Linked DNA regions of Oryctolagus cuniculus. The protein of the gene in region 2 binds, or shares a complex with, the protein of the main gene of each other region. Links are inferred from orthologs where the notes say so. Each region holds a gene or a part of one and is shown on either strand. Other genes may lie near its edges.

Region 1 (4,441 bases), on a different chromosome or scaffold from region 2:
CCCCTGTCACACACAGCACACCTAAGGTCACCTCCTCCCCTGTCACACACAGCACATCTAAGGTCACCTCCTCCCCTGTCACACACAGCACATCTAAGGTCACCTCCTCCCCTGTCACACAGGACATCTAAGGTCACCTCCTCCCCTGTCACACACAGCACATCTAAGGTCACCTCCTCCCCTGTCACACACAGCACATCTAAGGTCACCTCCCCTGTCACACACAGCACATCTAAGGTCACCTCCTCCCGTCACACACAGGGACTCCTAAGGAGCGCCCGCCTCCCCTGTCACACAAAGCGGCCCCTGGGGCCGCCTCGCGTCCGGGTTCTTACAGGACGTTTCTCCCGCCTACTGCTCCCTGCAGCTCGGCCCGTGCAGCTGCCCCACTCACACAGCCATCTTCATCAGCTACAAGCTGCCGCCCCCAGGCCGTGATGAAACCACCCACACGAAAGCAGAAGGTGTCGAAACGGAAATTTCAGTAATGCTCCCGGCAACTTCTAAACCCAAAGCAACGCTTCCCCTTAAAAAAACCGTCGCCTCGACAATTCACATGCATCTACCTGTTCCTGCCAACTTTCATTTAATTAGGGAGACTCCTGAGGCTCTGAGTAGCCACCGCCCTGGGGGTGATGCGCTGGACTTGGTTCTAACCACTAAGCACCCGAGAGACCGGTTCTTATTTAGTGAAACACGGCTGCAGGGGACGGAAGACGCAAAGGGACACGGCTGCAGCCAGCAATTCACTCTGGAGTCCATTCCAAGGATCAGCCACGAGAATGTGCTCAGCTGGGAACTTCACCAGGGAAGAGCCACTCCATCCAGGTATGTGACAAGAGGAGACTAGGTGCGTAGGTTCTGCAGCGCAGAGCTGGTCAACGCTACAGAAACAAACCTGCTGCTAAGGAAAACACTCACGTCCATCGCTACACAGAGGAGCGAAGCTATAAAGCTTCTCCTCGAAAAAACACTCACAGAAAAATCCTATGAACATAGGGTAGCCCCAGAAGGTAGTCACTTTTACCACTGCCTGGCTTCTGCTGAATATTCATATAACTAAGCAAGAGAGAGACGGAGAGAGGGGCACAGAGAGAAGTCCCATCTGCTGGCACTGGGGTGGGACAAAGCCAGGCGCTGTGGCCATCAGCGGCCTCCTAGGGTGACCGTCAGCAGGAGCCAGGGCCTGGACGTTGACAGCTAAGTGCCGCGCCTGGCCTATGGAACCTGTTCGTTTTTGTGCCAGTTTTTTGTCTCAAAGCCTTTGCCTAGATCCAGCCCGAGGGCCCTCTGAACGCCACAGGAATGGTTCCCCCCCCCCACGCAGAACTTCCCGCGTCCAGAACACGCGTTCTCCGAAGTCGGCCAGGGTGCTGTTTTCTTAAATCTTCTTTTTCTTTTTTTAAAAAGGTCTATTTGTTTGAAAGGCAGGGAGAGAGGGAGAGAGATCTTCCACCCGCTGGCTCCCTCCCCGAATGGCGGCAAGAGCCGCAGCTGGACCCATCTGAAGCCGGAGCTTCTCCCTGGTCTCCCGTGTGGGAGCAGGGGCCCAAGCCCTGGGGCCACCCTCTGCGCTGGGCCCTCAGCAGGGGGCTGGACGGAAGTGGAGCAGCGGGCTGCTGGGCTGGCCGCCGTTTCCAGCCCCATCAAAGCGCGCCCTGAGCCCTCCTGTGTCGGACGGTCCCCAGCTGGCCGGCCGGTTGTGTGGCCGGGTGGGTGGCACTCACCTTCACCGCCTGGCTCCTGGTGTTGATGGGAGGGTTCTTCAGCGCCGCCTGCAGGGCGGCTGTCATGTTCCCTGTGCTGGCGGTTAAGGGGCAACAGCGGGGGCAGCCGGGGGCAGCCGAGGGCAGCGGCCAGCCCCTGGGACCGGTGCTTCTCGGGACTCAGAAACGCCCTCGGGGTGCCGACCAAAGGTAACAGCGCACTGGGGGGCTATTTTTGGTTCGCACCATCAGAGATCGCCTGGTAACGCTGCCCTCACGGGACACCTTCGGCAGACTGCAGAGGTGCCGAGACCCGAAACGCACGTCAGGATCCCACGCCCTCAGGTCTCCGGGAAGCCGCCATCTCCCGCGGCGCTACGTGGGCGCACAAAGACACACCTCGGCCTCGCTGCGCGGCGACGCCCCGGCTCTCGGGTGGACGGTGGACGGCTCCATTTCCTGGAGGCCACACCTAGCAGTCCGCGAAGGCGCCAGGGAGCAGGGAGCAGGCAAGGAAGCGGGCCAATCAGGCCGGCGGCAGGCACAGCCATTCCCCTAAAAGGAGAAGCCCCGGCCGCCGCCCCTCCCTCGCCATCGCTGCAGCCGGCCTCTGGCTTCCGGGGCCCACCCAGCGGGCCCACGGCGCCGCGGGGTCCAGGCTGCACAGCCCCAGGCCCTCACACGGCCGCCACGGCAGGACGCGGGCCCGAGCGGTCCCCACGCACCGCCGCGGGGCGCGGACAGCCCGAGCACGCGGGCGCCGCGGCGGCTCCTGCCAGCGCCCCCGTGTCCCCCACGGATCCGGTGCAAACGCGGACCCGGTCACAGCTGCTCAGACACGCCCAGGGCAGCAGGCACCGCCGGACAGCGGCTTCCCGCGAACGCCCGGCCCGCACTCCCGGGGCTCCACGCACTCCCGGGGCTCCACCTACTCCCGGGGCTCCGCGCACTCCCAGAGACTCCACGCACTCCCGGGGGCTCGGCGTCCGCCTGCCGGCTCCGCGCACTCCCGGGGCTCCACGCACACCCACGCACACCCCCGCCGCAAGGATATTGCCGCAGGCACGAGTCCACCTCGCCCTCGTCCGGCCCCGCCTGGCCGTCGCCGCCGTCTTCCTCGTCCACGAACTTGTTCTCGTCGTACTCATCCACGTCCACCTTCCGGAACCGCGCCGACGACACCGTGTTCTTCGACATCGCCGCCGCCCGCCGCCCTCGAGCCTCCGCGGCGCCCCCCCGACCGCTGCGAGCCGCCGCTGCCGACTCACTTCCCGCTTCCGCCCCGGGGCGTGGCCGGCCGCGCGGCTCGGGGGCTCCGCGCATGCGCGAGGCCGGCGCCCGCCCCCTCGGCGCGCAGGCGCGACTCTCCGCCGCGGGGCGGGGCGCGGCGGGCGGTGGCGAGACGCGATTGGGCGCTCGCGCGCGTCACGTGACGCGGGTTCCCTTAGAAACGCGGGCCTGCGGTCCAGCCTAACGGGTCTCAGGTGGGCGGCGGCGGGGTAGCCGGGGCTTTCCAGTCAGCTGTCTCCGCGGCCCCGCGTGAGGGCCGGGCGCGCTGCGGCCCTCTTGTCGGCAGGACCGAGGGGCGGAGGGATGCGTGTCCGGGCGCCCGCATCCTCCCGCGCCTCCCGGACGCCGCCGGGGCCGCTCCCCGGGCTGCAGTCGCCGCGCGGCCCGCGGGGTCCCCGGACTGAGCCGCACGCGCGGCCGCCCCGCGAGCGGACCCCGACCCACTCGGCCTCCGTCGGTCGGCGGCGGGGCAGGGGCCGGGCTGGGCGGCAGAGCCGGGGGTGAGCCTGCGGGGCTCGCGGTGCGGGCGTTCGGGGCGGGGGCGCGTGGGCTCCCGGCGCTGAGGGGACCCGGCCCCGCCACTCGTGTTTTTGGGGCGCGTTTCGGGACCTCGGAGGGCGGAGCGCGCCCTGCGTGTGCGCCTCCCGTCTCGCGGCCGGGCCCTCCCACTCATTACCCGATGCCTCCTGGAGCAGACGCGCCACGCGTGTGGAAAACGCGTGTTACCCGTGACGCCGGCCTCGCGCCCCCCCCCCCCCCACGCGGAGCCCGCACGCAGAAGGTGCCCAGCGCGTGCGTGGTGCGGCGGGCAGCGCGGGGAGAGAGAGGGGCGCAGAGGCCGGGGGAGACCTACGCGGGTACTCTCGGCCCCTCGCAGAGCTCCTGGGCAGCGGTGCGGGGCAGTAGCCTGAGATCCACGCCTAGCCAGAGTCCCGCACACAGCTCACGGAGGCTGCGTGTGACAGGAGACCCGCGCGTGGGCTTCAAAGCCTCCTTGCAGTAAAATCAGTGTTTTCCTATTCCCACGGACTTGGCCAAGTTCTGCGCGCAAGAAAGCTGGGGAATGGGAGGGGGGTGGCGTTTGAGTGAGGAGTCGGCCAGCTGGCCTTTTCCCCCCAGGGCTGTCACCGGCTACCCAGGTGACACAGTGGGCACTGCGGGCCACCTGCTGGCCTTGTTGCTGCGGCGACTGGCGTTATGTAAGAACGGTGTATTTTGGTGTTTCCTGCTGACTTTAGCGCAGGCATAGGCAGTGCTTCTTCAGATGCCCAAGCTGACTGTACTTTTTTCTTTTTCATCAAGATTTTCCGCAAGAGGAAACTGAACCTGGGAGGCGCTGCCGGGTGGAAATGGCAGGGAAGATGGCGGAGCCGGGGCCTCCCGCGTCCTGCGCGCCTGTCCCTCCAGGGGGTCTCGCTTAGGTAATCCTTGGAGACTGGGGCCGT
Region 2 (4,591 bases):
GAAACGGGGCTGCTGTGTAAGAACTCAGTTTGATTTCACCGTCATTTGTATTTCCACACAACCAGCCACATGTAGCTAGTGGCTATCACACGGGATGTGGCAGGGTTGGAAGACGAACTATAGACAAGCCTTCTCCCGGCTGCAACTTCCCCAACTGGTTTCTTCTGAGAAGCATAAAAAACAGGTGGAACAGACCTCTTTCAGCAGGTTCCCACAATGGCAAAGCCTTTTAAATCCCCCACGGCTCTCCTCCAAGCTATTACCTTTCTTTAATGTCTGCACCTCTTAGCTCTGTTGCTAATGTGCTCTCTTAGAAAGACCTCCCGCCGCATCAGTTGCTGCCTGGTGCTGAGCGCTGGTAGAATCCCATGTGTTCATGATGGTCGCCCCCGCCACCCTGGGCTGAGCTCGTGGGCAGCACCCTGACAAACACAGCTTCGTTGCTGCCTCCTCTTACGGGTGCCTGGGAACACACTCTGCTGCACCGTGTTCTGCTGGCGTTGTACTTGCAACCCCAGGAATGCCCGACCTCCTAGGCATGAGTATCACAGAGTATCTCGGCCTCTTTTCAAAAGATTCAACGAAACTTTCCACAGAATGGTCTGGGCTCTTGTATTGAAAGCCAGATCTCAAAGGGGAGATGGGCTGGAATAAAAGCCAACCCCAACCCTTGCCCCCATACAACCTCACCACCAATGTCTGTCTATTAAAAAAGTCCTGCAAGCTCTAATCTATGCCTTCCAAATTGAGGGCCATTTTAATCCCTCTGAAATGATTAACTGCTATTTTGAAAATAATTATAAGAAAGAACTGAAGTTCTGAATGGGCCACACATTTTGGAATCACAGGTTATTAATACACAAATAGATGTGAAAGTACTCTTACACTAAAAGGCATGTTTCTACTTGCAGACACACAGCCATTTATCTTGCAGATCAGCTCATAACCACCCAGGTCTCATTCCTGGCCAGTCTGGACTTGAGAATGCATTGAGATCAGTTGTGAAAATGCAGAAGTGAAGTCAACTTCCTCCTATGTGCAGTGCACTGCTCAGAAAAAGCACAGAGCAATCACCCAAAATGAGATCCCGGACTGAGTCACTTGAGTATTTAAAATGCAAAGAACTGGTAAGAGGGGCTGAGAGTAAGAACTGAGTTAACCTGAAATATCAGCAACTGCAGGCAGGCCCTGGCAGGAAACCGTTCAGCTCACTGTATGCACTGCTTCCAAGGAAAGTAGTTCGTGTTCTTACAAAAAAGAGATGGGAACCACAATCCATTCAATTTAAGCAGTGAGCCAGTACTCAAAAAACAAACAAAAAAAAAAACAAAAAACAAACAAACAAAAAACCTCCCAAGTCACAAGTTCATTATGACCACTTAAATTTCCCTTCCACCAATCCTGTCCCATCTGTGGCTCTCCAAGCATTTACTTTCCTATTACTGGTTCCCAGTTCACCAAAAAGAGTTTGTACTTATTTCCTCAACTGTGCAACCAAGATGTGAAGCCCCATCGTCCCGGATGCGGAAATGAGGCAAAGGGACTGACCACAGGCCACCAAAAATTCGAAGCTAGAATTCAAGTCCTTGGCTCATGTTTTAAAGGTGCTCTGGGGGAGGCGGCTGATCGTCTTCCACTGATTCTGCTCTCTGACAGTGAAGGCTGCCTTGGAAATCAAAGCCCGTCTTTCACAGACAACGGTAAAAAAGAGGTTATCTAAGAACTTCATAGATTCTGGAAGCAGTGAAGTGTGTAACCGGCCAAGGATTGCCACAGAAGAAATCACAGCCCAGGGGTCTTGTATGAGAATTTAAAAGGCCAACAGGCAGATAAAGGCTGCGGGGTGTGCGGGGTGCAGGCTGCAGAGAGAGCCCGACACTCTTGGAAGAGATAAGGAAAGGGTGTGGGTGCAGGACTATTAGCTGTGCTTGAGACATGTGTAACAGAACGGCCCCTGTCGCTCGCAGGAGGGTTCGGGAAGGGAAGCTAGGGAGATGGCTGCAAGGCTGGGTCTGCTTTCCGTCCCCCCTCGGGCTCCCTTTAGGGGTGGGGGCGGGATGGAGAACGCCGGTGGCGATCTAGGCTTGCATCTTCTTCCCTCCTCCAGTCCTGGGAATTCCTGAAAACTCCTTCCAGCCCAGTCGCAAACCGGCTCTCTCCGGGTTCAGAACAATGACGGGGACACGGAGGGCAGTGGGCTCCTCGGGCTCCAGTTCCGGCCCGAGCTGCCCTCACGTCCCACAGGTCCCCTGGCCCTCGGCACGCACACTCCGGTCCACTCGCAGCTTCCGCATCCCTCCTCCGAGCCTCACCCCACGCATCCCTGCCCCTCACCCGCCGCGCCCAATCGCCTCCCACGTCTCTCCGCCGGGGCAGCCCCTACACACTGCCAGGCCTCCCAACTCCCTCCGCCAGGCCCGGGGGGGAAGCTGGACAGCACCGGGGACTAGCGGGGGTCAACTCTGCCTTCCACGCCGCCCCAAACCCCAGCCCCGGGGCGCGCGCTCACCCGGCGGCCGCGTTCTCGAACTTGAGAGCGAGCGTCTCCTCGATGATGCGGTTGTTCACCTCCAGCAGGATCATGGCGGCGGCTGCCCCGGACAGGGGAAGGAGAAACAAGGGCGGGTCAGGGTGGGTAAAGGAGGAAAGGACGCAGGGAGCGGCCCTGTGCCCCCTGAGAAGGGGGGCTGGGTGGGGTAGGTGACGGGAGAAGGGGAGAGGGGAGAGGGGCCGGGGTGGAGAGAAGGGGAGGACGCGCGCCGGCCCGCGCACGCACGGACTGTGGAGACACCCACCCACCCGACAGACCTGGCCCCAGAAGCCTCAACCCGCCTGCCGAGCCGCCGCCGCCACCGCTGCCGCCTCACCGACAAGCCCGGTCCCCGCCCAGCCCCCGGCTCTAGCCGGCCACTTCCGCTCTCACACCCACTTCCGCTCGCCGCCCGGACGCGCGGCCCCGCGGCGCCATTTCCGCTCCGGCTCCCTCGTGCACGCGCACGCAGGCGCGCCCGGGGTGGGGCGAGGCGGTCACACTTGCGCATGCGCAAGGCCTCCTACCGCTTTACTTTCCCACTGAAGCGCCCCACCCCCGCCCCATCAAGTCTCCGCGAGCCACCGAGCGGTCCTTCCCGGAACTTGCCTCCCGCTTGTCCCAGAGTTCCAAATCCACTCTTCCGGTTCTGTCATGTCAGGGGTCCTGCAAGAAGCTCGCTCTTATCTCGCGGCAGGATTCTTTGCTGTCGGCCTGTGCGTCGTGGAGGCTCCTCCTCATTCCAGACGGGTGGCAGTCCGTCGCACCATCGTGCGTTCATTTCCCCAACAGATGGTGGGCTCTTGTCCTGAGCCGCGAATGCGGAAGTGAACACGGTAGACAGGGTCCTGCCCTCGTGGAGCTTATACTGTGGTAAAGGAAACACAATGAACAAATGATCAGTTATGTTGTTTAAAGGCACCGAAGGAAAGGGATGCATAGTCACCTCGGTTAACAGGCAGTTCAGATGGGCCTCCCTGGACCCCTGTGCTGCCTCCATTTCCGTGCCAGGGGCTGCCCCTGGATGCGCAGAACATAATTTTCTCTGCCTCCAACCCTCACCTTTCAGTGCCCCCGCGGGAGACATAGCTCCTACTCATCTGCCTGCGGAATCTGAACTGATCCTTACACCACGTCTGCACCTTCTGCCTGTGTGCCTTGATTTGCATTTGTCCTCCTCCAGAGGAAGTGTAACAAGCTTAGTTGAGTCCCTTCTACATCAATGGTTTTTTTCAGTTATGTGCTGGTGCGGGGTGGGGTGAGTGGGGTGGGGTAGGGACGGGACTGGATCCAAAAAATGAGCAAAGATCCAGCCTTTATCGTCAAGGGGTAGACAGCTTTTAAAAATAGATTTCTTTTTACAGATTTGTTTATTAATTTGAAAGACAGTTTGAGAGAGAGAGATTTTCCATCTGCTTGTTCACTCCCCAAATGGCCACAACAGCGAGGGCTGGGCCAGGCTGAAGCCAGGTGCCAGGAGCTTCATCTGGGTCTCCCACGAGGGTGCAGGGGTCCAAGGACTTGGGCCATCTTCTGCTTTTTCCCCAGGAACATTAGCAGGGAGCTGGATGGACAGCGGAGCAGATGGGACTTGAACCAGTGCCCGTATGGGATACTGGTGTCTCAAACTGTGGCTTTACCCTCTTCTCACTATACCACAATGCTGGTCTCTAAAAATAGATTTTTTTTACGTACAGGCCTTGGATAAACTTCAGGGTACTGTAGATGCCATCCTCCGTCTATATGCTGCTGTTTCAACATTAAGTTCTGTTGAGCTAAAATAATTCATACAAATAGTTTAAAAATATGAGGGGACTCCAAAAAATTCATGGAAAAGTGAAATTAAAAAATAAATTTATTTTTGTGCAAAAATATTAAAATCCATGCATGGCATATCCATAAGCTTTGGGAAGACCCCTCATATGTATACCTACAATACTATAAAGTTTGTAATGGAAAAATAATTCTCACCCACTCTTCAGAAGCAATATTCGCAACTCTTTTTTAAAAATTTATTTTCACTTTAATTGAGAGAGAAAAAGAGAGAGGGATCGTCCATCT

The links.
Region 1: ARPC2 (region 2) and ARPC5 share a complex: the UniProt entries of both Homo sapiens proteins name them as parts of the arp2/3 complex. The link is inferred for Oryctolagus cuniculus from reciprocal best matches to the Homo sapiens genes ARPC2 and ARPC5.

The regions. Positions count from the first base shown.
Region 1 is NC_091444.1:1,522,745-1,527,185, forward strand, and holds the start of ARPC5 (actin-related protein 2/3 complex subunit 5), read right to left. Parts: upstream 3,005-4,441; 5' UTR 2,904-3,004; coding exon 2,761-2,903; intron 1,810-2,760; coding exon 1,728-1,809; intron 1-1,727. UniProt on the Homo sapiens protein: Component of the Arp2/3 complex, a multiprotein complex that mediates actin polymerization upon stimulation by nucleation-promoting factor (NPF).
Region 2 is NC_091434.1:21,132,420-21,137,010, forward strand, and holds the start of ARPC2 (actin-related protein 2/3 complex subunit 2), read right to left. Parts: upstream 2,992-4,591; 5' UTR 2,809-2,991; intron 2,592-2,808; 5' UTR 2,584-2,591; coding exon 2,510-2,583; intron 2,503-2,509; exon of another isoform or gene 1,161-2,502; intron 1,047-1,160; exon of another isoform or gene 264-1,046; intron 1-263. UniProt on the Homo sapiens protein: Actin-binding component of the Arp2/3 complex, a multiprotein complex that mediates actin polymerization upon stimulation by nucleation-promoting factor (NPF).